4 linked regions of the Xenopus tropicalis genome follow. The protein of the gene in region 1 purifies or fractionates together with the protein of each later gene. This does not show direct contact. Links are inferred from orthologs where the notes say so. Each region holds a gene or a part of one and is shown on either strand. Other genes may lie near its edges.

The links.
Region 2: the proteins of mtf2 (region 1) and eed purify together in Homo sapiens (affinity purification with mass spectrometry; 3 studies listed by BioGRID and IntAct, with this or other methods). This does not show direct contact. The link is inferred for Xenopus tropicalis from reciprocal best matches to the Homo sapiens genes MTF2 and EED.
Region 3: the proteins of mtf2 (region 1) and jarid2 purify together in Homo sapiens (affinity purification with mass spectrometry; 3 studies listed by BioGRID and IntAct, with this or other methods). This does not show direct contact. The link is inferred for Xenopus tropicalis from reciprocal best matches to the Homo sapiens genes MTF2 and JARID2.
Region 4: the proteins of mtf2 (region 1) and ezh2 purify together in Homo sapiens (affinity purification with mass spectrometry; 10 studies listed by BioGRID and IntAct, with this or other methods). This does not show direct contact. The link is inferred for Xenopus tropicalis from reciprocal best matches to the Homo sapiens genes MTF2 and EZH2.

Annotation. Positions count from the first base shown.
Region 1 is NC_030680.2:104,197,102-104,202,347, forward strand, and holds part of mtf2 (metal-response element-binding transcription factor 2), read right to left. Parts: intron 5,068-5,246; coding exon 4,956-5,067; intron 3,687-4,955; coding exon 3,628-3,686; intron 3,554-3,627; coding exon 3,455-3,553; intron 1-3,454. UniProt on the Homo sapiens protein: Polycomb group (PcG) protein that specifically binds histone H3 trimethylated at 'Lys-36' (H3K36me3) and recruits the PRC2 complex, thus enhancing PRC2 H3K27me3 methylation activity.
Region 2 is NC_030678.2:168,812,165-168,817,410, forward strand, and holds part of eed (polycomb protein eed), read right to left. Parts: intron 4,652-5,246; coding exon 4,526-4,651; intron 3,641-4,525; coding exon 3,559-3,640; intron 3,347-3,558; coding exon 3,255-3,346; intron 2,299-3,254; coding exon 2,165-2,298; intron 625-2,164; coding exon 519-624; intron 343-518; coding exon 184-342; intron 1-183. UniProt on the Homo sapiens protein: Polycomb group (PcG) protein. Component of the PRC2/EED-EZH2 complex, which methylates 'Lys-9' and 'Lys-27' of histone H3, leading to transcriptional repression of the affected target gene.
Region 3 is NC_030682.2:92,472,454-92,477,699, reverse strand, and holds part of jarid2 (protein Jumonji), read right to left. Parts: intron 2,688-5,246; coding exon 2,191-2,687; intron 210-2,190; coding exon 117-209; intron 1-116.
Region 4 is NC_030682.2:55,123,007-55,128,970, reverse strand, and holds the start of ezh2 (histone-lysine N-methyltransferase EZH2), read right to left. Parts: upstream 3,833-5,964; 5' UTR 3,741-3,832; intron 3,172-3,740; exon of another isoform or gene 3,056-3,171; coding exon of another isoform or gene 3,018-3,055; intron 1-3,017. UniProt on the Homo sapiens protein: Polycomb group (PcG) protein. Catalytic subunit of the PRC2/EED-EZH2 complex, which methylates 'Lys-9' (H3K9me) and 'Lys-27' (H3K27me) of histone H3, leading to transcriptional repression of the affected target gene.

The sequences.
Region 1 (5,246 bases):
GCCATGGAGGCAGCCATTCAAAGGAGAAAAGGCACAGGCACATAGCAGATAACAGATAAAACACTATTGTATTCTACAGAACTGTTATCTGCTATGTAACCTGTGCCTTTTCTCCTTTTTTCCAGCTTGAATGGCTGCCCCCGTGGCTACACAGCAGATTATATAAATTATAGTAGTGTTACTGTAGCAAACACACCAGTTTTACCAGTGCAGGGCAACAGTGCATTATATTTTTATTACGTGAAAGCTCTTTCATTTTTTGGTGTTACTGTTCCTTTAAGCTCTTACAAAAAGAACCAATTACTTGTGCCTCCAAGGTTGTGGCTGCTTGTGGCCCTGATGATGCTGCCCATCTCCATGCGTTTAATAATTGCGCAACTATGTAGTATATAACAGGGTATTAGGGGCTGCAAGCCCACCTTGTTCAGTAGGGAGTTGCAGGGTGTGAAAAGAAATTCTGGGGTATTCCCTGTTCCAGTATAGGGTCAGTGTCAAGGATCTAAGTTTCATAAAGATTTTATAAGGGATTACAATGGGATTGCCGAAAAACGTATGCAAACTTGGGGAGTATGGTAATTAGTACACCTGGTAGTTGGGCTGTCAATTTCAGACATATCTATGTTGTGGAGGTAATTATCTATTTCTGCCATGGTAACCTGTAGCTTGGTAGAGATTGAAATAATATGTCACAAATGAATTGTTAATCTGGTCAGGACTGGTATATAGTCTTGTCAGGGAATTCCCGTGGGTGAGGTGTTGTCCCAGGCCAAGGTGCCAAGTTTTGTCCCAGTGTTTTTTGTGAATTCTACACTACATCAGTGGTGGTGGAGTCTAAATTGGTGTCCAAATATGTTTCCAATCTGCCCAGCATGTGTGTCATTGACCCAGTAGGAACAAAGGTTTTTTTTTTTTTTTTTTTTAACTGTTCATAGTTTCATTTCAAATTCAACAACTACATACAGTAACATTGTTACAAATGAGTGCCCACTTGTTAATGCGGGTTACCTCTTCTACTATATACATTTTATATAAAATTGCACCTTTATGCTTTGTTACTTATCCAGGCAAAACTATCTCCTGACCAAAGCACTGGTGTCTAAGGCTGATACTCCCCTGCTGTAGCTTTTATAAGGCAGAGCTTTCCAAAGAGCAAAAACTTATTTCTTAAAGGAATAATGCCACCAGTAAAGGGACCTGGTGTATGGAGGTGGTATTATATAAAACTTTGGCCAAATTCTGGTATAAGTTCTTCTGACCAGGAGTCCCTTTGTTGCTAAAGATGTTCCTGTTGGCCTCCCTAGCAAAGTTGAAGTCCACTTCAGTTTATCCAAAAGGGGTCAAATATATAATTACAAACTATAGTGAAGATTCAAGGTGACCCCAAGTAAAGGAAGAAACTAATTTGTTACCTGAGATTCCACAGTAAAAAGCTCTGGAACAGTTAGACTAATGAAGGAATGTAACAGGTATATGGTTTCCAGCACTTGTTATGTTATATATATCCAGAGTGTATATATGGTGTGGCAATCTAGAGAATATTTCATTCTAGTGCAGATCTGTACAGATCCATTACAGGAACAGAAATGAACTATGAGGGAAAGTGGGACTAATTTAAGACCCTCTTTTACAGTAGGTCTAAAGTTTAAAATAAATTATAATAAATTTCCAATCTTGTTAGCCACTTTTTAAATACAAGCGACATTGCTGCTCCCTTACTCCTGATTGTCCATGCTCAGCACTATACAGCACCTGGCTCACCCAGCTACCTCTTTACATGACCCTCAGGCAGGCTGTATTGGTTCAGCAAACACTATCTCCTCCCAACCCCATAATAGCAGCTGTAAAAAAAAAAGGCTATGACGATGCATGAAAACTACTTAGAATGCGCACTATAGACCCATCTACCCCCCTCTGGGGCAACAAAACCCTTGGGAAATTGGCAGAAATGCCCCCCTCCAAGTCACTGGGTAAACTCAGGTATCACATCCATCAAAGATGTTTGGGAGGAGGGAAGGATGATCCCTTTTTCATCCCTATAACGCTACAACTCTCTACCAGGCTCTGAATAGCTAATATACCTCAGGTTGCAAATGACCCTCAAACACTTACAGTCTCATTCCTTGCCACCTCTGAGGACCCACTACTGTCAACCATAAGAAAGGGCCACAAAAAATGTCCACCCTATACAAATAACTAATCAATGCTAGCTGTGAGTCTGTTGCCTTGAAGTGTAGAGATGCATGGGAAGATGACCTGGTGTACCTGACGGGTGATCAATGAAAGGAGTTGCTATTAATCAAATTAAATTTGTTTCTATCAATTGCAGGCACAAGATGCTTCAACTATACCTTATCCACCAAGCATATTATACCACGGAGAAACTACACAAAATATATCCAGAAGTACCCCCAATGTACTAGATGCCAAACTGACACCTTATTCCATGTCCTCTGGGCATGCCCTGAACTGAAAAACTATTGGGTCAATATCCCAGACAAAATAGGCTCAGTAACTGATATAAGCATCAACCAAACTTGGTACTACTTAACATCACCACTGGTATTGAGCTTAACTTAGCTAGCCAGGGTATTCTTTCAAGCCCGTAGGCTTATTACCCTCAACTGGAAATCGCAAATGGCGCCTACCTATTGACACATGGCTTAGGGCCGTAAATGATACCTGAAAAAGCGACACAAGAAAAGCATTCCCTAAGCAGGAAAGGCAAACCCAACACCTTTATCAATATCTGGAGCAGCTGGCTAGCCCACGCCTCATAAGGCCCCTCCACAAGTACTATTACTTCCTTAGCGCCTCCACCCCTGTATCCATCACAGGGTATATGAACCCAGGAGGGGATTGTTATCGGTTATCTATTACCATAATTATAACTCTGATGTGAGTTCTATGATGAGACATGTATTTGACTGTAAAACTGTAAACCCTTGTAATTTCTCCTTGAGCGCTGTCAAATGTTTTGTACCTGAATAGTTTTCCTTTTACAATAAAACTTACCAGCACAAAAAAAAAAAAAAATACAAGCAACATTACACATGTTCAGTGTGCTCTTGGCTGTTGTCAACAAACTAAGCTTTTGGGTCACAGGAAATCATCAAACCACAAGAAGAACGTGATGTTTCATCTGTCAAATAACTCTTAAATTTTCCCTCATTTTACAATTTGTGGTCTCCTGAATGATGCATTTCCCTTATTTTACATTTTCCAGGATTTTAGTGTTTTTCTGGTCCCATGAAAAACGTAAAATGGGGGTTCTACTGTAATTCTACAGGGCTAATTAATAACCAGTGACATTTTTGAATCTAAATCACTACTCACTGTATGATGAAAAGTATATTCTATTTATACCTGAGCTTTATACCTTAAGCTAAAACAAGTGTTTAAAATTAACAAAAAAAGATGATGGGGAGCTACTTGAGGTAGCTTCATTAATTTGTACCTGGAAACAATAGATGAGGTAGTTTCTTTTGCACTGACAGCACCACTGGTTTCTAAATCTGAGTTACTGGATGATGAATTGGTCACCTCCGGTTTCCTGCTAAACAGAACACGTTTGTTTATAAAAACAAAACAAAAAGGCAGTAGATTAAAAACAAAACTAAAAACCCATACCTTCTTTGTTCTGGTGTATCTAACAAGGAATTCTCTGATACAGGTTCAGTATCCATGTTCTGCAAAGGATATCAATACATTTTAGAATTTATCTAGCACTGTACATTTAGTATAACTTGTACTGTTTCTCAATATTATTATTATTATTTTCTATTTATAAAATAACATTTTCCACAGTGTTATGGAATATACAAGAATGAATACAAGAAAAAACAACCAGTACAAGAGGTAAAGAGGGCCCCTGCCCAAAAGAGCTTACAGTCTACTGTCTGATTGCTATTATGCTTTAAGATAGAGGTTGGATTAATTTAATCTGTGGGACTGTTTGAAAAGGGATATTTTACTTGCCTGCACAGTTCTGACTATTGAGATCTGGCATGATATGGAGGGTATCAAGGGAGCAGTGGGCAGGTAAAAGATTGCATTTCTGAAGAATATAGCTGCTTAAACCGATTGCATTTTGATGATTCTATACTGCTCAGCTTTGCGTTTAGAGTACTGCTAGTAGAGAAAACATTTAAGCAAATGTGGAAGTGGGCAAGAGTGCCCATACTGCATACCATTCACTTTAAAAGGAGATCTAAACTAACATAATAAGAAACTTTCAGTGTAGGATTTGTAGCTCAGCAAACTGAATATACTTAATAAGGATCTGAATACCTTTGCATGGCACTACATAGGAAACTAACTCACCTCACCTACTGTTTGTTGTATCGATACAGCAGGTTAAGCTTCACCTGCTTTCTGAGACAAAATGGAGAGGGACAGTGTGCATGGTCTGCTTAAAACAGCAGCAGAATACAGCAAGGTCCATGGGCAAGGCCTAAGGAGAGTGTTCAGTGCCCTCAAGAGCAGCTTCCTCAGGCAAGGTTGCAAACAGTTAATGCTGGCCAAGAATGTTTGATGTATGTGTGTATATTTTTATTGATACAGTGCTACTTATGCACACAGCACTGTGCAACAGAAGTTGACTGAGCACAGAGGGAATAACCTATTTGAAAGTCATTCAAGGTGGGGCCAGATACATTCCCTGGGCAGTAAGGAGGGATTTTAAGAATCAAGTCCCAAAGGAACATGGAGCACGTAGCCAGTAAAAAAAATAACAAAAAGACTGTTGATGAGTCCCTAGCTGTCCCAGGTACTTCATGTGTCACTGGAGGGCATGCAGAAGACAGCACTAACTAAAACAGAAACCTTAAAAAATACTAAACCTCTTCTATGCCTCATACCACACGATACACTCTGGTTTCATAAAAATGAGCTTCTGACTATTTTCAAAACAAGTTTACAACTATACTGCTCTTTGTATAGTATGAGAATGTTCTTACATTTGCCAGAGATGGGGTTTCACATGGCTCATTTTGCAAAATTTTTCTCCTGTGAGAACCTGGTGGTCTTCCAACTGGTTTCCTCTTTTTCACCTCACCATTGTTTATCTCTCTAAAATATAGTGGGTAAAAAATTGAAATAATGAGGACAAACATGTTTCTTGTCAGAAAGTTTATGCTTCACTTTTTCATGTACTAACATTTTCCTGCTTGTACTGATGTATTTTAATGTTACATGTTCTGCATAATGTTTTGTACCTATGCTGGCATTCTGGAGAGTAATAGCGTCAT
Region 2 (5,246 bases), on another chromosome or scaffold:
CCGACTGCTCTGTAGGTACCTGACCAGGAGCAGGACTCTACTCCCCAAGCTGAAGCTATACTAAAGTCTATGAGAGCACATTTTACAAATGCATACCTTAGCTGCAGGCATAAATATTAGCAATTGACGTGATAAAGATCATCTCAAACTGTTTTAATACAAGAAAGATGGAATGTCACTTACTTTTTGCCAGAAGTCCATGGAAAACCTCATATACCAAATATCACACTGACTGTAATCAAAGCGCCCCAGAATGGTCACGTTGGACTCGCTGGCTTTGATCTTGTCTATATCATCTTCCATTTTACCAGGTTTCCAGCACACGATTGCATTTTCACAAGACTGAAATTACAGAGTAAATGCATTCAGCCTCCTTCTACACAAATATCCATCACCGGGCGGATATCGTATCTGTAGGTCCAGCTGTTGGGCAGGGCCCCTTTATCTCTGGTTGTTGTTTACTGTATGTAACTGTATGATCAATGCATACACAAAGTGATAGCGACAGTAACACTCACCTTAGACAAAATAAGGTCTCCTAACCACCTGACACAATCAACATAGTTTCTGTGTATGTCCCTTGTGGAAAAATCAGGGAAATGGATTTTCTGCGAGACAAATGGCCTGCAATGAGAAAATACAGATTAGTTAGAGAAATCCACTTGTAATACAATTTTAATCTAAAACATTCAATATTTCACTGTAAAAATGTATATAACTCACCTTAATAAATTAGCAAACCCATTTAAGCCATTACTTAAGGAGGACACTGCTCATTTGTGCATTAAAGGGGTTGTTCACCTTTGTACAACATTCACAAATCTAACAGTTCACATTAATAGAATCTTTGCCATATAGTTAACAAAACATGTGCTGCTGAAGAGATATTCACCTTAGAATCATCCCTTCACTTCTGCACAGGCCAAGTACTGGGATGGGGGGGGGGGCAGTGAGGGGGCTGTTCCTGCTGAATTGTGCTTAGTACAGGGGAATCCCTATGTGCCATAGTTTTATGGTATCTCTCTGTACAGGCTATGAGCAAACTTAGGGGGCTGTTCCTGCTGAATTGTGCTTAGTACAGGGGAATCCCTATGTGCCATAGTTTTATGGTATCTCTCTGTACAGGCTATGAGCAAACTTAGGGGGCTGTTCCTGCTGAATTGTGCTTAGTACAGGGGAATCCCTATGTGCCATAGTTTTATGGTATCTCTCTGTACAGGCTATGAGCAAACTTAGGGGGCTGTTCCTGCTGAATTGTGCTTAGTACAGGGGAATCTCTATGCTGCCATAGTTTTATGGTATCTCTCTGTACAGGCTATGAGCAAACTTAGGGGGCTGTTCCTGCTGAATTGTGCTTAGTACAGGGGAATCCCTATGCTGCCATAGTTTTATGGTATCTCTCTGTACAGGCTATGAGCAAACTTAGGGGGCTGTTCCTGCTGAATTGTGCTTAGTACAGGGGAATCCCTATGCTGCCATAGTTTTATGGTATCTCTCTGTACAGGCTATGAGCAAACTTAGGGGGCTGTTCCTGCTGAATTGTGCTTAGTACAGGGGAATCTCTATGCTGCCATAGTTTTATGGTATCTCTCTGTACAGGCTATGAGCAAACTTAGGGGGCTGTTCCTGCTGAATTGTGCTTAGTACAGGGGAATCCCTATGCTGCCATAGTTTTATGGTATCTCTCTGTACAGGCTATGAGCAAACTTAGGGGGCTGTTCCTGCTGAATTGTGCTTAGTACAGGGGAATCCCTATGCTGCCATAGTTTTATGGTATCTCTCTGTACAGGCTATGAGCAAACTTAGGGGGCTGTTCCTGCTGAATTGTGCTTAGTACAGGGGAATCCCTATGCTGCCATAGTTTTATGGTATCTCTCTGTACAGGCTATGAGCAAACTTAGGGAACTATTATAGAACTATTGACAAATAAAGTAGAGGGCTTTACTAAATGGGAATTAATGCATGAATAAATAGCTGCTGTGAGAGACACACACAAACTGACCCTTGCAGCTGCACTGTCAGTTACTGAGCAGACTTTCCAGCTTCTGTGGTTACTATAAGCACTGCTGCCATTTTATTGTATGCCTGTAAGGCTGGTTATTGCTTGGATACCAAACATTGACCTGCGGGGTCCAGAACCGAGCTCAGTCAAGCATCGCATTACCTGTTTGTTTTATTGGGGTTGTATTCGTAAGACTCTCTGATGGCCGTCTTCATTCTTAAAGAATTAATTCTCCAGAGCTTAAGGGAATGGTCCATACCACATGACATGATCTTCTCACCAAGCAAATCATAGTCCTAAGGCAAAGAGGCAGCAAGTTAAGACTGAGCTATGGCTACGTAAAACAATATGAAAATTAAATTCTACATGCTCTATATTAGAAACGTTTTTCCGAAAGAAAATATTTCCGCAACAATAAAGCCTAACAAAATATTCAAGTCAAGAAATCAAAAATCCGTGTGCCCTGAGCTAAACTAGAGAAGAAATGTAGGCGTGAATAAACCCATTAGGCTGGCTGTATGTGGGCCGATACTGAATACTTCTGAGCAAGTCAGCAGCTCATTGGCCCTTTCACTGAGTCAAAACGATAGTCTCATTGCTAATAGGGGAACTCCGGCTTCTGTACCAGAATTTCTTAAAGAGCCCCACACAGCACAGAAACCCCCAATATAGGGATCCCTGTAATCTGTTCAAAAAGAAGGAATAAATACCATTTTTTATGCTAAAATCCAGCTGCAAAACAGTTCTTCTCTTTCTGCATCATCTGAAATCCTGGCAGGGGAGGAGGGACTAAAGCCCTGATGTTACAAATTGTAACAACTTCTCCCCAGCTTACAGACAGCATGCAGTAACTACATAACCCACAATGCATTGCACTGGGATGTTCCTTTCCTTACTGACATCACGTGTGCAGCAGGGGATTGTGGGATTGGGAGGAGGCAGGCTGAGAACAGGCAACTACTGTTACATGTTATTTGAGTCACAAAGTAGTCAGCCAATCAGCAGGGGAACAGGGGGCGGGGCTTAGGGAACTGTTCCAAACCAGATTATTACATTAAACATCATGAAAAGGCTGCATATTTTCTAAGTAAAAATACTTGAATTTATGTTTACTTTTCTAAACGCTTAAGTTGTGTTTGGGTTAATATCTGACTGGGATGAGTTTATATATTGTGCAGGAAAGGGGGACAGCATGCTTCTCTCTCAACAGGTCTACACAGCACTAACACCCCCCCAAATGCAGTATACATACCGCGCTTAACACTTCATCTCTGTGACCTTCCACTCCACCAAAAATGGCTACAAGTGTGTCTGTCTGTATGTTCCAAAGTCTTAGCGCATGATCTGCGGGGGGCATAAAACATGGTGTAAAAAAAATAAGACACATACAAACCAGCAGCCATAGCCTTTAGCGGCACAGAGCTGCTCTTAACCACAGTACATAGAGTTGGTTATGATATAAATTCACTTCTGCACATTATATACAAAAATAAGGTGACCCCCTAGACACTAAAGCTCCACCAACCCCTTCAGAGCTTATACAGTTCCACACCTACCTTTGCTAACTGATAGGAGGAGGTTTGGATCCCTTGGATGAAATTTAAGCTCATTGATAGCATTTCCGTGGCCCACATAGTGCTAGAAGAAAGTGGAAGGAAAATTAAAGATATTATGCATGGTTATATATTCCATGTACAATGCTATTTGCAATCCTACAGAAAAAGGGGGATACTTTTAGTATGATGTACAGAGTAATATTCTGAGACAATTTGCAATTGGTCTTCATTTTTTATTATTTGTGCTTTTTAATTATTACACTTTTTGGTTGCTAGGGTTAAAAATGAATAGGAGAGAACCTGAATAGAAAGATAAGCAATAAAAATTGTAGCCTCACAGAACAGCTTATTTTTGGCTTTTAGGGTCAGTGATCCCCATTTAAGAGTTGGCAAGTGTTAGAAGAAACTATAAAAAACTATAAGACGAATTGCTTAGAACTGGCCATTCTAAAATGTACCTAAAGGTGATCCTTCCCTTTAACACAATCAAATGAGTAAATGAGACAAACAATATATTGAAAGCTGGAGTTTCTGTACAGCTGCAGCATTTAAAATCTGGTGATAGCCGTAAAGACTACTCAACTTGCTTATACAAGAAGGGTATTTAGGGTAGGAACCCACAGAGTGGTTCAGTGGCCCACGACAAACCGCTTTGGAAAGGTTTTCCACCGGCAACTGTAGGAGCCGCCAGTGAAAAGCCCTTTGCATCACTTTGTTTTCCAAAGCCCTGAAGATTTTGCATTACTGAAACAATGTGAAGGGCTTTCCACCGGTGACTCCTACTGTCTCCAGTGGAAAACCTTTCCAAAGCAGTTTGTCGTGGGCCACTGAACCGCTCTGTGAGTTCTTACCCTTAAGCACCGATCTTCAAACAGTGAGGGCAGCATCAAACCCAGACTACAGATTAAGATATCAGCTACTAACAAGCTTGTAAATGATCCCACGGATGCAAGGAAAATCCTCTTACCTTAATACACTGCATAGTAATAGGATTAATTATCCTTATGATCCCTCTAGAACCAGCCACTGCTAGAAGTGGGTGACTTGTGTTGCTGTCGTACGTCCAAGCGCAAGTATAAAAGTTCTCATCTGCCTGAATGTAAGAATTAAGGAGAGAAAAAGCTGTACATGGAATCCGTCGCAGTCCCAGACCCAAGGGCGGAGAGGCACCCCAGTTCATGACACCCACAATTCCCCACTGATAGATAATGTCTGAATCATTAAATTAATTGCTCTTACTGACTATTAGCACACTCCCAGTTAACATGAGGGGTCACAAATACCCAGGTTAAAGATTAGGGATGCACCAAATCCACTATTTTGGGATATGGCCGAACCCTGAATCCATCATAAAAGATTTGGCTAAATAACGAACCCTAATTGGAATATACAAATAAGGCTGTGGAATGGTTAAAGAGAACCATATGCAAAGTACGAGGTGAAAATGTTTCAACTTCCGTGTTTATGTGACAAAAAGGTCATGTGACTTAAAGGATTCTGTTGGGCCAGGTCCATGGACTCAGCTGAATCCTGCTGAAAAAGGCCAAATCCCGAACCAAATCCTGGATTTAATCCTGCAGCGCCGGGTTCCTAGGCTCCTCTGCAAAGAGTCTGTATGTTCTCCCCGAGTTTGTGTGGCTTTTTCTGGGTACCCTGTTTTCCTCCCACACCCAAATACATACAGCCAG
Region 3 (5,246 bases), on another chromosome or scaffold:
GCCCTGTATTACTGCTCACAGGAAATGAGTCATATGGGCCAATAGGGTAAATCACGCTTATCACTTATTTTTTCCTGGAACATTCTACTCCACTCCATTCTTACACCCACACTCACCTCAACCTCAGATACGGTGGGCTCCTTATTGAAGCACATGTTCATGACGTTCCTTGCTGTCCTGTAGAATGTGGTGAGAGAGACAGACCTTCCCTGCACAGGAAGTTAACAAGACAGAATGAACTTAGAACCCACACACAAACCCAAGTAATAACTTCTTCTCTCACCACCTCATAACATGTAGCAATAGGCTTCACATCTGCATATAAGATACCGGTATGACTTTATCTATATGTACATGCACTGTGTATAACCTGTGGTCTAATCTGTAGTGCTAAAAAGTATCCTGGCATCACTGATCTCAGACAAAGAACAACGATTATTTAACTTCTGTACCAAGATATACGTCCCAACCCCCATATGTAATAAAACACAAAGTTTATACCCAGGTGCAGTAACCCATAGCAGTAAGATGACTAGTACATGATTTCTGCTGATAGGTTACCAAAAGGTCATTAGACCTGCAGCAAAGTTTGCACATTATATTGCATAAACCCAAAAATATCTAGTGGAATATAACAGTGGAAAAACACCTTCAGGTATTTTATTATTTAGAGAAATATAAACATATGTAAACAGATATTTTGTAATACACAAAAATACAGCTGATTTGGAAAGCCCCATGTTTCTCAAGTGTGCCAATATCAAGTGTGTATATACCGTTTTATGGAGATGTGCATCAGTACAACCTTACATTTTTATAGAGCTGCACCAAAAATAAGCATACTTTAGATTGCGGGGTCAAAAAGCCCCTATTTGACTATATTTAGTGCTCTGTTGGTGAATGTGAAGCAGACACAATAATAAGGCAATGCAACTTCCACATCTTATTAAAGAAGAACACCTGAATAAGGATAAAACAAATGCCGTAAAAACTTAGGATACTAACTTTGGATACTTAGGAGAAACCTTAGGGCTACGGCACACAGAGCTACTTGTGGTGGCAACAAAACACCAGAAGATACCCTGTTATAGGCTAAAACACATAGAAAGACAACAATCAGTATTGCTTATTTTGTAGCCTTGACAAGTTGCTCCATTTTTCATTGCCCTTACTTTCGGCTACCCTGTAGAAGACAAGATCTAGGCCTTTAGGCTAGTCCCACACAGTGCTGATTCACAACCTGTCTATAAACACAGGCCGAGAATGAACCTGGATGGTTTTTATGGATTTAAAAACCCAACAAATTCCTTGTAGATTGTAAGCTCTTTTGGGCAAGGCTCTCTTCACCTCTTGTATCGGTTATTGATTGCTTTATATGTTACTCTGTATGTCCAATGTATGTAACTCACTTATTGTACAGCGCTGCGGAATATGTTGGCGCTTTATAAATAAATGTTAATGTAATAATGTAATGTAAGAAAATGCTCTAAGTCAGAAATTGGCTGTGACAAATAGGTACCACCTATTTTGGCATTTTGTCTGAACAGAGAAAACAGATAATGCAGGAATTCATTAAATCTCTGCTGGCAAAAATTTTTTTTGTTGGTGCCATGGCTGTGCCTAAAAAAGTCAATATCAACACATGCAGTAGCTATGAAGGCAGCTTTCTATACGATAAGTTCAACTTCTTTACTCAATTGGAATAAAGTGCAACCCCCATCCATCTATTTTATTGCATGCCTTTACCCTTCCCACCAAATGAGGTATTTTCTCCATACTTCCTACTATTCTTCCCAGCAGGTGCATCCCCATTTCACCATCCTATATATTTTCATCCCATCAAATACTTTAGGTCTCCCGAGGGTGCACTTACCCCAACCACCAAGTGGTGCTACTCTCCTTTTCTCTTGTTGGTCTCTTTGCACTTCGAGTGTTTTTTTCCCCCTATTACCACCCCCCAAGTAGTAGTAGTACAATTAGTATTTGGGGATTCATGGCACCGGTTGCTTTTACTTGGTTTTTTATTTAAAAGCATCAATAATGTAGTTACATGTATGCTTAAGCTTGCAAATTTCTTCTTATATATGCTAGCATAAAACATTTCAATCAACAAAGGCAATTTTTCCTTATGCGCAGATTACGATTCAAGCATGTAATGACAACTATACTCACAAAAGTATGCATACATACCTTATAGATACACTTATGCAGTTCACCAAATAAACTCTTGTCTTCTGGCTCTTCCTCCGTACTCTCTTTATCTTGAGTAAACAGTCTCCGTCTGCCATTTTTCACCTGGACATCCATTTCTTTCAGCTTGCCTCTGAGACCATTGCGATGCACCACTCCATTTATGAGTCCATTTTTGGGCTCGTATCTGGGGAGCAAATGTAACTTATAGGCATTGTCTGAGTGACCCTCTAGTGGACCTTTCTTCTTCTCCAGATTTTCTTTTTCCTGCAGGACTTCCTTCTCCAGTTTCTTGTGCTCCTCAGGGGAAAGGGAGTCATAGGAGAGCAGGTACTGACAGTAGGCCTCTTGCAGCTTTGCCAGACGATCCTGTGCAGTTTTCGGGATGCGTAGCATGTCCGCCAGTTTGTTCCATTTCTTGAGGTCAGTCACTTGTTGCATGCCACCCATTTCATTGATGAGTTGGAAAAACTGGGCCAAATCTAGCTCACAGCCTCCTAAAAAGAGGTTGCAAGCAAAACAAAAAAAAATCATTTAATAAAGAGAAGTGGCAATCTGCCTATTCTATCCTTCGCAAATGACAAGATCCCTCAGAAAAGCTATGAGTAGTTAATTCCTTATGAAACGGTTAGGCTACATTATAAAAACATATAATGATGCATAACCCTAATTTTTTTTTTTTTTTAAGGACTTTTACAGATTCAGAAAACATTTCAAAGCACTTTCTCCAAAAGCTTAAACAGGTCACCAAATCCACTACACTGTGCTATAAATACAGCAATTTTGCATTTTTTAACATTAACATTTTTATGCAAGCCACTCATGGGTGGCAATTTTACTTAAAGGGGTTGTTCACCTTTGAATTCATTTTAGTATGATGTAGAGAGTAATATTCTGAGACAATTTGCGATTGGTTTTTATTTTTTATTACTTGCAGTTTTTTTAGTTATTTCATTTTCAGTTCAGCAGCTCTCCAGTTTGGAGTTGCAGAAGCTCCAAGGAGAGGACATGAATAGTAAAGACAATTAGAAAAAGTAAGAACAACAATAAAACTTCACATAGCAATAGTTTTTTGGCTGCCGGGGTCATTGGAAGGCGGCAAATAATTAAAAAACTATATATAACAAATAAACAATGAAGACCAATTGAAAAATTGCTTAGAACTAAAAGTTAACATATAGGTGAACCACCCCTTTAAGAATGTTGGGAATACTCAACATAAGAGCTAAATTGTCAAAGACAAATACAAAGTTTAGAGAAAACTGAAGATATGAAAATGCACTGCAGAACATTGAGAAATAATATCTGACAACATAAGAAACAGTAAATAAAGCATTGTTTGCATACATTTTTTTTTTTTAATACATTTTGACTTACCACCAGAGCCAACAAGGTCTTGACTAAAATAAGGAGTGTGCTGTACCTTGGCTGCCGAGTTTTAATGGTTTGTAGCTAGCCTGTGGAGGACAACTGGGCTTCCCAGAGGTGATCTTGGGTATCTTCCCCACACCGTAAGCCGGCAGAGATCAAGATAAGTTGCCCAGGACACACTCTAGAGACCTGCTTGGTGAAGGGATAGCTTAACTTCTCTATTTGCCCAAGCCCTACAAGATGTGGCTCATAGTACACAGCCCCATTCTGCCACTGTGTCAGCATGGTAGGGATGTGTAAATGAAGCCTTAAAAACTGCTAATCCCTAAAAAAGTAGAGCAGAGCAGGGATCCAGAGGATCTGTCTTCGGTCAGAGCCTTGCAGAACGAGTGATGCTTGAATGCCTAGTAGGCATACCGCCACAAAGAAACAGAGAGAGATCAGTTTGTCAAGTTATTAAAACATTTGTGTCTTCTTCCAGGAACTTCACAAATGTACTTAGGGTTGTCACAAGTGGGTGTTAAGCCAGGGAATAAATCCCTGGTTCTTACTTTTGAAAAACCATTTTGAAGATATTGGTTTCCACTCTTTATATCTTCAGAAGTGTTTTTATCATTCCCTAAATCAAGTTCCCTGCATGACCTCCTTTCCATGTTCTTTTTGATTATTTCTTCAGGGAAATGTTTAGTTGCATATTAGTAAATTAAATAATATTTCAATTCACTAAGTGAGCTATTACTTGTGACAACCCTGAAAGGTACTCAATACATACATAAAAGTACATATGCATGTTGGTGTCAGCAAGAGACATTTCACCGTCAATACCTAGAATGTGTTTTACTTTTAAAACAGCAGTATTAGATAATCATAATTCAACCTCAAATCTCTAAATTGTAAGGACTGGATTGCTTATGGTAAGGGTCTGATCTTGGAAATACAGTGAAGTTAACAGGGCAGTGAATTAGTGAATTAAAAGAAAAACTTTACTGCTGCTTAAATTATATTTCAACATAGTTGAAATAATTACTGAACAACACAATCACATAAAACACACCATGTTGGGCAAATCCAACATTTAGTGAGATAAGTTCCGAGAGCTTTAGTGATGCGTGTTTGTGTCTGCTGACACACAATTGTATTCTTTGTTCATCGTACAGTATTAAATGACGTAACCTTTGTGTTACATTGTACATTTGTGGATGAATTGTTATGTTGGCCATTTATCACAAACAACAAACTTAAGTTGAAAAAAACAGAAGGAAAGTGAGATCAGCACAACAAACTTCAGCTTGGAGGGACATTTTTGGAAGAGGTGAAAAAGAAAGAGTTGTTCTTTAATTTAAAAAAATGATGATGCAAAGAAACTATTGTCCAGTCATCACACTCTGTGCCCTGGGTATAGGGTGCCTACAAAAAAAAATACGACAAACACTTTTTCAGTCCCCCAAAAATACAGCTGATATCAGAGTTCAAGCTTCTGCAGCATTCTCAGATGGCTACGTATCAATAAAAGTTTAATAGCGCATGTCTCACATTCCCTCAAGCACTGAATATGGTTGAAAAATTTGTGTTTTTCTTCTCTCTCTTTTTAAAGTGTCAACCTTCTAACATGTTGGCATCATTCAGCTACATTGGTTTTTGCTATTTTGGTATATTTCTAACAATGCAAACAGTATCCAATTATT
Region 4 (5,964 bases), on another chromosome or scaffold:
TTTGCCAAGTACATCAACAAGCCCATTTATTTCACAAGTAACAGCTAAAACCCTAATCCATGCCCTTATCCTTTCCCGCTTAGATTACTGCAATCTCCCACCTCTCTCCCCTGCAATCAATCTTAAACTCTACTGCCTCACTTAAGCTCTCTAGCATGGTTGCTTTTTAAGCAAATGATAGTTTACAGAATCATTCTGCTAACATTCAAAGCCCGTCACTCCTCTGCTCCTCACATTTCTTCACTGGTCTCCCTGCATGTTCCTGGTCGTCTCCTTCGCTCCTATCAGAGCCTCTGTCTTTTCACACCATCCACACCCACTGCGCTCTCTTGTCTTAAACCTTTCTATCTTGCTGCTCCTTACCTCTGGAACTCTATCCCTGAATCCCTCCGTAGGGAACACTCACCCACTCTCTTTAAGAAAAAACTCAGCTGTTACCTTCTGGAGCACTAAAACATTATTTTGTCCAGTCCTGCACTTAAGGGCAAATGCCCCTACCTGGTGCATTCTTACTTTCCAATTTGTGCCTGAATGTTACCCAACCACTTAGATTGTAAGCTCTACAGGGCAGGGAGGTCCTTCCTACTGTGTTTCATACCACATGGCACTTATTCCCTGTGCATTGATATATATTTATTATATTTATTTATTACAACACTTGTCCTCCCTGTGTGTAATTTTGTATTTTACAGTGCTGCGTACCCTTGTGGCGCTTTATAAATAAAGTTATACATACATAGATTGGAGGAATCACCACAACAGGACCAGCAAGATCTCAGATCAAGCACTCACTGTACATACACTATGCGACCATCTTCTGCATAGATCAGCAGTCAGTGAGAGTGTTTATCTAGACCTGTGAAGACTAAAGGTCCCCATACACGGGCCGACTATAGGGGCCGATTCGGCAGCTAATCGGCCCGTGTATGGGCAGAACAGAGCGACCTGGCTGACCGATATCTGGCCTGAAATTGGCCAGATCTCGATCGCCCAGGTTAGAATATCCGGTTGGATATCCGGGGACCGCATCAACGAGCCGATGCGGTCCCCGAACCGAATGCCCCATAACCACAAATGTAATCCGATCGTTTGGCCCATTACTTTTTTTTTTAAGTTACTTGCTACCCGATATCGCCCACCCGTAGGTGGGGATATCGGGTGAAGATCCGCTCGCTTGGCGACATCGCCAAGCGAGCAGATCTTATAATGTATGGGCACCTTTAGCAAGAGTTTAAAAAGCTAAAGTCAACTACAGAAAACCCTGCTTTTCAGACAGTGAAACTGTCATGATTTCCTAATTTTCCATTAAGTATGACTTCACTAAAATCCTTGGAGAATGTTTTGGTGGTGAAGGTGCTGCCCTAAGGTTCTGGGATGAGAGAATGATTTGATAAAAGAAAAGGTCTTTGGACTCTCAAAGATCTTACAATGAAAGGGAAAACCTTTGGTGCGAAGATCTTTCCCATCTTTTAATATATGGTCCATGGCCTCCTCTGGCTAGTGTCTGCCAAGTCATTGCTGGAACAGTTTTTCATTTCATCATGGGCTTGAAAGATAGACAAGTGGGCAGTAATGAACAAAGAGCCCCAGAAAGGTGGAAAAGGAGTCCCAAATAACTAACCTACTGAAGAGTTTGTCTCCAACTGCATCTGCTTGACATTAAATGGCACAGACAAGGACTCTGGAGGCAGCTCCATGTCCAACATTTTTCCTATCCTACTTTGGTGCACACTGGGATGGGACAAGTGGAACCACTTGTGGAATACATCTTGGTTTTACCTAGATCTTACAAACTTTGTGAGAGAGCACCAATAGGACAAATTCAATATACACTTGTGGAAAGATAATCAGCGAGCTGATCAGAGGCATGGATGTGTTGGGAGTCTATTCCAGTGCTTCCAACTGACATTGCAATGATTTCCATTTTGTTGTGATAGTTGCGTTGTGGTGCATGTGCATTAACCAACGCTGGTTCCACCCAACTGCCTATCAGGAGATGTTTGAGAAGTGCGCATTCTATTTTGATTTTTAGCCACAGAAAATGCACACTCCCAGTAACTCCAAACATGCCAGATAAACCAAAACTCGTCACTACATTAACGATGAAGCAATAATAGACCAGCAAGAGCCTTAAGATAAATGAAAAACTTCAGCCCGACACTGGTAAATACATAACCCTGACCCTAAAGATAGACAAATCGCAAAGATAGACATCCTCTGCATGTCTCCAATTTATGTGTTAGTGTAGCTGGAACAACTGCTTGTGTGGGCACATAGTGGCAGCCAAAAATCATACACACCCACTGCCATGTACAAATATCAGATGCAATTTCTGACAGTGCATTTCCAACTATACTCACTTAAAAATTGGATATGCGGGTCAGACCCTAGAGCTAAAAAGGAATTTTAATATATAACAAAATAAATACACAAGACAAATCTTGAAGGAAAAAAAACATACCAAGTGATGATGATCTGTCACACAATATCATCCGACGACTGACACAACTTTGTCATGCACAAAATGACTTCTTAAAGCAGCAGCCGGATACAGCACAAAAACAGCTGACCGTGGAGCTGCTGTCATACAGCCCTTTGGAGTCTGTTTCAATAAGTTAATCACCCCATGTATGTCCCAGCACACACATGCCCTTTCTATACCGTCAATGACACTAGTGTATAACACGTTTTCAAAACTATTACAACTTCCTGCATTGTGTCTTGTATGCACCCACGCAGTACCTCCTCTTGTTGCCGACAGACTGTTCCATGACTCTTATCTGATGACAACTTTTTACTTTGCTCTGCACACCCTCACCTGCAGGTTTTAGCTACACCAATAACGTACGTGGAAAAAGCTTGATTTCTGTCTAGTCCTTAGTGCTCAACTGATGCAACTTCACTACAGTAGCACTTAACCCCCTACCACTATATTGGCACCACACAGTTCCTCTCATTCCTCAATCAGAAAGTCACTTGGCCCTACAGAGGTTTTGAGGTAGAATATTAAGAGAAACCTGCGACTTGCTGAAGAGGGCTTTGGATGGCCCAGCATGGTTGTCCTCTCTTCATGTGTGACAGCTGCCCTGCCATGGATGTTCAGTGTCCCCTCAGACTGTTGTTGAAGTATAACTTTCACCAATGTCAGTGCTGGGAGTTGTAGTTCAACAGCTGGAAACCAACAAAGAGGCAACACCAAATACAGATGATATGCAGAAGACTAGCAAACCCTTGGAGGTGTTGCTGGGATATGCAATCCTACAATACATGTTCAGTCCAACTTAGAGTTGGACTGCATCAACAGTCCTTGACCCTAAGACACCAGAGTTTAAATCTTAACCTGCTACTTCCACGTTCGAATGCAGAGATGTGAAACACAGAGTACAAGCTCTGGCCACACTACAATTCCCAGAATCACCAGAAACCCGCTACAGGCTAAAGGCATCCTATGGTTGTCACAGGATTGGCCCGATCACTTATGTGTTGGTATATTGTCTATCTTACACGTCCATTGAAGTTAAATCTCCATTACACAGCACTTCGGACCATACAACCCTGTTATTGTAATCAAACCACGATTTGACAGTGAAAATATTCCCGCATTAAACTCCAGCTGTAAGGTTGCATTTGGAGCCCCTCCCCCTCTGTTGCCGGGGGCGGCCCCTTTGTCCTCGTCTGCTCCCACATAGGGCCCACATTACCAATGTGCCCGGTACATAATTAGGCTCTATTTCAATTACCGTGTCTATGACCGTCTCCCCTTCGCCTGGCTCTCCTCTTCCGTTCTTACTACCCGAATCTCCTTACCGATGGAATCCCTATTGCACTACCGCCAGCCCCAGGCGCCAAACTAAATCTCCCAGATAAACCTCCACCTCTCGCAGCTTTCAGCCACCCCCATGACCGGTGCTTAGCTCCCTCTAACTAGGTTCCAATTGGCTTGCTCAAGGGCGCCCGGAACTGTACGAGCCAATAGGAAAGCAGAGAGGGAAAACGAAGCCGGCGCCAGCTATTCCCTCATACAGTGTTATAGAGCCGCTGTGCACTCTGTTTTCCTTTGTTCTGGCCGTACTCTAAAACTGACTGAGACGGGGGCGCGCTCTGGCGCTTTTTGGTCTACTCCAATATATATTTTACTTTATACTACATTATTAATGTTTTATTGCTCAACCAATATTCTCATCTCTGGGTGTGTTTGAAAATTTACAACTGGTTTACGATAAAAAAAAAAATATATATACATATACAATATGCCATCGGTTTTATCCCGAGTTATAGCAGCCGGCGCGCCCATTCAGAATATAATTGTTCTGTTCTTGAAGTAGCCGGGATGAATATCACACGCTTTATAACAGCTGTGACTTGTGTACACGATTCACACGGATATGACTCTGCCGTATAGGGGTTAAGAACGGTCCTACCGGGCGCTGACAATTCCCGCCGTATCAATGCAGCGCGGAATTAGAAATGGAGCAATTCAAACTGAAAGCGTTTTGGGCGGTGACTGTAGAAAGGGGCGTGGTCTATAGATCACGTGCTCTCCTACACCAGCGACAGAATGGCCCCAGGTAACCTGGCGGCAGAACGTGTTGGTTGAGGCAGATTGCTGGGGAATTGTGGGAAGGGAAGTGCAAGGTTGTATAGTTGCTATTAGTTGTCTTCGAACGAACTCGATCAGTGCCACTGTGTTTTTAATGCATGTTGGCCGAAACGTAGTAATACTTTGATGTGTACGTTTATAGAGGGGCTGACAAGTTTATATCTTTACACGAAATTTGCCCTAGTGTGGATTTGTAGGAGCTGCTCGACACAGCCCTTCGATCTGAATGGGCTAGTATGGTATGTTACGGACTCCAGTCAGCTCTAGTGTCTAATGGGGCACAAAGGTGGGCCTGTCTCTTTCTATGTGCTTTGGTATTTGACCGGCCGCACACATGCAGCTATGATTTGCTCCCAGTACTACATTAGCATGGGTTGCACACCTGTTTATCAATAGGTTTAATGCCACACTGTTACACACGGGTTGCAGGGCCTATGGGTAAACCGGGCCGAGGAACAAAACAAAAGATCTATTAAAGATTTCATGGGATGTGATTTCTTACTAAATTCAGCTGCTTAATTGGGCCTTAAAACACAACACCTGTCCCAATGAGCCTATCCAAATAAAGTATCAAGTACACAAAGGGGCCCATTTATCAATGTTTGATTGAGTCCGGATACAAAAAAAATTGTATTTTTTCTAAGTTTTATAAATGTGTGTGTATTTTCTGCAATTTGTTTATTAATTTCAGCAACTTTTTCGTACTTTGCGTATGAAAGTTTCAGGATTCATTAAAGCTTCAGTATCCTTTGGCCAGGTGCTGCATACAGGCACGGATTTGTGGCGAGGCCACAAAGGCCCGGGCCTAGGGCGGAACATATGTAGGGGCGGCATGCCGCCCAGTCGCATTGTGATGTTGCTCATACGGAGCAATGGGGACCGGATGCGCAGAAACTTCAGCGCGTCCTCTCCCCACCGATCCGTATGACTTAAGTGGCGCGCATGCACAAACGGGAGGGGTGGTTGGCTGCGCTAAAGGTGCAGGTGTATGCATGCACGATCGAAGTAGGCAGGCGGCAGAATGGGGGCGGCCTTGGGGCACCAAATACAGAAATCCGGCCCTGGCTGCAGAGTGCCGTTGAGTCCTATGGGAGGCTTCCAAAGTCATGCACTGAAGGATTAAAGTTAGAAAGTTTTTGGTTCCATTTAGGATAGTTCGGATACAAAAATTTTGTGTCAAACGTAAACGATCATTTCAATACGAAAATTTCTGAACTTTTAGATCATAAGTATGAAATTTTTGTATTCAAACGAAAAGAATTTTCAATCATCAGAAATGATTGGATTTCGTGATTCGGATTTGTACCTTAGTGAATCGGCCCCAACATGTTAAAAACCTGAAAATAACAATATTGAAGGCAGTA